Kluyveromyces lactis: one gene and its partner. The protein of the gene in region 2 binds, or shares a complex with, the protein of the main gene of each other region. Links are inferred from orthologs where the notes say so. Each region holds a gene or a part of one and is shown on either strand. Other genes may lie near its edges. The genes, in order: RPC19 and RPC17.

What was found.
Region 1: RPC17 (region 2) and RPC19 share a complex: the UniProt entries of both Saccharomyces cerevisiae proteins name them as parts of the RNA polymerase III (Pol III) complex. The link is inferred for Kluyveromyces lactis from reciprocal best matches to the Saccharomyces cerevisiae genes RPC17 and RPC19.

Annotation. Positions count from the first base shown.
Region 1 is NC_006042.1:2,217,844-2,219,844, reverse strand, and holds RPC19 (DNA-directed RNA polymerase core subunit RPC19), read left to right. Parts: upstream 1-906; coding exon 907-1,290; downstream 1,291-2,001. Other genes in the region: DEAD-box ATP-dependent RNA helicase DBP2, read left to right, coding at 1,716-2,001. UniProt on the Saccharomyces cerevisiae protein: DNA-dependent RNA polymerases catalyze the transcription of DNA into RNA using the four ribonucleoside triphosphates as substrates.
Region 2 is NC_006042.1:2,114,037-2,116,759, reverse strand, and holds RPC17 (DNA-directed RNA polymerase III subunit RPC17), read left to right. Parts: upstream 1-1,539; coding exon 1,540-2,007; downstream 2,008-2,723. Other genes in the region: CRH1 (transglycosylase), read left to right, coding at 1-1,230; VTC4 (Vtc4p), read left to right, coding at 2,235-2,723. UniProt on the Saccharomyces cerevisiae protein: DNA-dependent RNA polymerase catalyzes the transcription of DNA into RNA using the four ribonucleoside triphosphates as substrates. Specific peripheric component of RNA polymerase III which synthesizes small RNAs, such as 5S rRNA and tRNAs.

The DNA of each region.
Region 1 (2,001 bases), about 100 kb from region 2:
CTCCTATCACCAAATCTCAAGGGTAAATTGTGAAATATTAAACGTTAATGGTCAATAATACCAGTACCAATACCGAAATTCAATATCGTTATTTTGATTGCCCCAATAACAACAAACTGATATCAAAAGTAACAACTATTTTTTGGGCTTTGGTCCAAAATGATAATGTAACGATGAGAAAACCAAGATTGAAAAAAAAAGAAAAAACTTTTTTTTATACCTTCCTTCTTATAGGTATTTTTTTTGAAAAATGCAATGATGAATGAAGGGAGAAGGAAAACTGATTGATCCTGTCGTGTCTGTACGGTGTTTTGTAAGGGGTTTTCCGTGGAATGATGATATTAGTTCAACAGATTGGAAACAGCACTATACGTGATGATGGAAACTTTAGCTGATAACTGGTTAGGTATACGGACTGTCCTTGTTTTATGATTTGTGAATGATATTTGATACTTGACCCGGATTGTTATGCTAATTCTGTAACGGCCTCCCCTGATGATTTTTGCCAAGGGACTTTGGGTATGTCTCGCTTTGGTCGCATTTTCTCATTTCTTTTAGTTTACTTTGCTTTTTGTTCGGGATCCGTTGTTTATATACTATGGTGTGGTACCCTGAGCGTGGCTATGAGCAACACCTGTGCATTGCGCGGTAACTGATGAAGTGTGTGACACGTGATCTGGTATTTCGCATCAACTTGCTTCTTTCAGTTACCCGGTCAAGACCGGGTAAGCTTTTTGTTTTTTCCTTTAGCATGATTTGGTTTTCCCTCTTCTCTCTATCGAAAAAACCATAATCAATATTGACAAATTGTTCAGCTTAACAGAGTAGGTCATCTCGTCTTATTGACTGTTTGAAAGAAGTACGCACAAACCACCTAAGTGACCATTCATAAGCGCTCTCGGAAATATGGCTGAAGTGGAAAAGCAAGATGTTGATATGCTAGCAGCTGAACAAAATGATCAAGTTGATCAAGTGGAGGAAGAAGTGGACAGTGAAAAGATCAAACTTCTCACAGAAGCTACTTCCGAAGATGGTACTAGTGCTTCTTTCAGAATAACAGATGAAGATCATACCCTTGGTAACACGCTTCGTTATATGATCATGAAAAACCCGGAGGTAGAATTCTGTGGTTACTCTATTCCTCATCCTTCAGAAAACTTTTTGCACATTAGAATTCAAACATACGGCAAAATTACTGCTGTAGAGGCTTTGCACAAGGGTCTTGGAGATCTAATGGACATGTGTGATGCTGTAGAGGACAGATTCACGCAAAGAATCAGGGAAATGTAGAAATTGGTTATCTCCAGCTCCCGCATTAACTATATATAAGAGAATAGAATTAAATACACAACTACATCATCCTTGTATAATACACTATAATATCTATTGATTCTACGTTTATAGCTACTGGTAATCTAGCACATTGGAAGCACCGTTGGATATACCATTGGCAAAAGTAGCTGGAGTGGCTAATGTAATCACGTGACCATTTTGGTAAATTGGTACATTGGTACAAATTTCTTTTTCTCTCTTTTTTGTTTCTTTTTGAAAAATTTGCAAGTTCCCTCATCGCCCTTTGAAACTAATATATAAGCTGCAAACATTATTCAAACCTGTCTCTGATCCTCGTTCATTCAGTATTACAAGTGTGCATTTTTTTTTATCGTTTGGTTCTCAACATCAAGCAACTTATTTCACACATTATACAGAGAACAATGAGTTTCGGCGGTGGAAGAGATCATCAATTTAACAGAAACAACATGGGCAGCACTCATGGTGACTTCCGTGGTAGCAGAGGTTCTGACAGAAACAGCTACAACAGAGGTAATGACTTCCGCGGTGGCCGTAGCTTTGGTCGTGGTCCATCTCGTGATACCAGAGTTGATTTGGTCGCTCCAAACTGGGACGAAGAACTACCAAATTTGCCAGTTTTCGAAAAGAATTTTTACCAAGAACATCCAGATGTTGCTCAAATGAGTGAAAGTGAAGTTATCGAATTTA
Region 2 (2,723 bases):
ACGAACGGTAATGTTTCTTATGGTGATGATGGTGTTGAAATGACTATTAATAAGAGATTGGATAATCCAAGTTTGGTTTCAGAATTTTATATTATGTTTGGTAAAGTTCAAGCGATTGCCAAGGCTGCCGGTGGTCAAGGTATTATTTCCTCATTCTATTTGCAAAGTGATGATCTTGATGAAATTGATATCGAATGGACTGGTACTGATACTACTCAAGTTCAATCCAATTTCTTCTCCAAGGGTGAAACTACTACATTTGACCGTGGTGCTTTCCATTCGGTGGACGATCCTCAAGGTTCTTACCACAATTATACCATTGATTGGACTAAGGATGAAATCAATATCTATGTCGACAGTGCACTGGTAAGGACTATCACCAGTGACAATGGTCAAGGATACCCAGAGTCTCCAATGCGTATTTTCACAGGTATTTGGGCTGGTGGTGATTCCCAAAACGAGCCCGGAACCATTGAATGGGCAGGTGGTTTGACCGATTATACCAAAGCTCCATTCAGCATGTATTTGAAAGACGTTATCGTTGTTGATTACTCCACTGGTACAGAATACTCATACTCAGGCACCGATGGTACTTGGGAATCTATTGAAGCTAATGATGGTGAGGTGTATGGTAGATATGATCAAGGAGTAGCAGATTTCGATAAGTTAGCTTCTGGTGGAAGCGTATCAGACGACACTTCATCTTCATCCTCCTCATCCTCCACATCTTCATCTTCAACCAAGACAAGTGCATCTCCATCTACATCCAAATCTTCATCCACTTCCTCATCCTCATCTTCATCCTCATCCTCATCCGCATCATCATCATCCTCATCCTTATCCTCATCCTCCCCCACTACGACTTCTAAATCTAGTACCACAATTCCAACTACTTCCACTGAAAGCACCTTGAACACAACTAGTGCTTCATCTACCAGTGCTTCATCATCCAGTATTACTGCATTGAACACAACATCTTCCTCCACTTCCCTATCATCTTCTTCAACTCAGTTGAATACAACTGAATCTCTAATAACTTCCACGGAAGAACTTGTGACCACAGGTTTCTCATCTTTGGTCACTACCACCGCTGCTGACGAAGAGATCACATCGTATGCCACTGGCGAGACAAGCTCATCAGCTGCTTTAACATCCACACAGTCAGAAAACGCTGCTGCTTTCAATTTACCGCAATTGCTTGCTATCATTCCAGCACTTCTACTTCTCTAATAAATAGTCATTTTGTAATATAAACTAACCTCGTTGAATTTTAATAGGTGCATCTTAATCGCTATGGTACCAGCATCAGCCATGCAACTGGTATGCACAAAGCAGGATACGTATACCCTGAGCACTTGTTTCGTTCATCTAAATCATGATACACGGGATTATTTTTCACCGCTTCGAATATATTGAAAGCCATGCAAAGAGAAGAGATGAGCTGAGTTGAGATCAAAGAGTAGCAAGTAATAAAGACTGTATCGGCCTATACTGAATTATCCAAGTAAAAAGCTTCTCATATAACAAAATTCCAAGAAAATGCGCGTGCTTGAGGAAAAAAACGCTTTTATGAGCGACTACGAAACTTTGCAGTTCCTCATATCATTACAGAATCAACACCGATGGACCTCTGGATCAAAATCAGACAGGAAACACAACAAACCATACTACCATCCAGAACTGCAAACGATAACCAGAGACACGGTAAGGTACATAACACAGCGTTCCACTACAGCAGAAGACCCAGAAGAACCAGAAACGTCGGACAAGACCGTACCCAATAACGCCAACAAATCCACACTGCTGAACCTAACTACAGACCAATTCTCAACACTAATGCAAGAATTAAATGCTTTCCCACTATACAAAGCAGAAAAACTACAAATAGTGAACCAATTACCAACAAACTTGGTCCATTTGTATAGCATAGTCGAAGAGTGCGAATCAAGACTTGACGAAGGTCAGGTGACCTCGCTTCTCGAATGCATCTCCCGCACGTGCCTCTAATTATTATACACCATAATACAATATCTATAATGTTTAAATGCTTGGAGAAAAAAATCACATATAACAGACCGAAATACAATGAGAAAAAAGATCAGGAACATGAGTTTCAATGTTTCCAAGTGACAGTATAAGGGAAAAAAGGGATACCCTAGAATAAAGTAGTTATCAGGGCTTCTGAGTGGGTTAGACTTGCATCAGGACCTTTGAAATAGCTGATACTGATAACGATGGTAAAATTTGGTGAACATTTGAAGCGATCTTTGATTCGTGAGTACAGTTATTACTATATCAGTTACAATGACTTGAAGACGGAGTTACAGGAATCCTTGGAAGCTAACAACGGAAAATGGAACGAGGATTTGGAGACTCAGTTTTTGGAGTCCTTGGAAATTGAATTGGATAAAGTGTACACTTTTTGCAAAGTGAAGCATAACGAGGTAGTGCGTCGTATCAAGCAAGCCCAGGAACAAGTTTCTGTCGCTGTGCGTTCTTTGGATACAAATGTTCCGGTTACAGATTTGGATTTCCAAATCTTAGAAGAAGAATTGTCTGATATCATTGCTGATGTGCATGATTTGGCCAAGTTTGCCAGGTTAAACTACACCGGTTTGCAAAAAATTATTAAGAAGCATGATAAGAATACCAATTTCATCTTGAAACCTATTTTCCAAGTCAGAATGGATGCCAAACCGTTCTTTAAAGAAAATTACGATGAA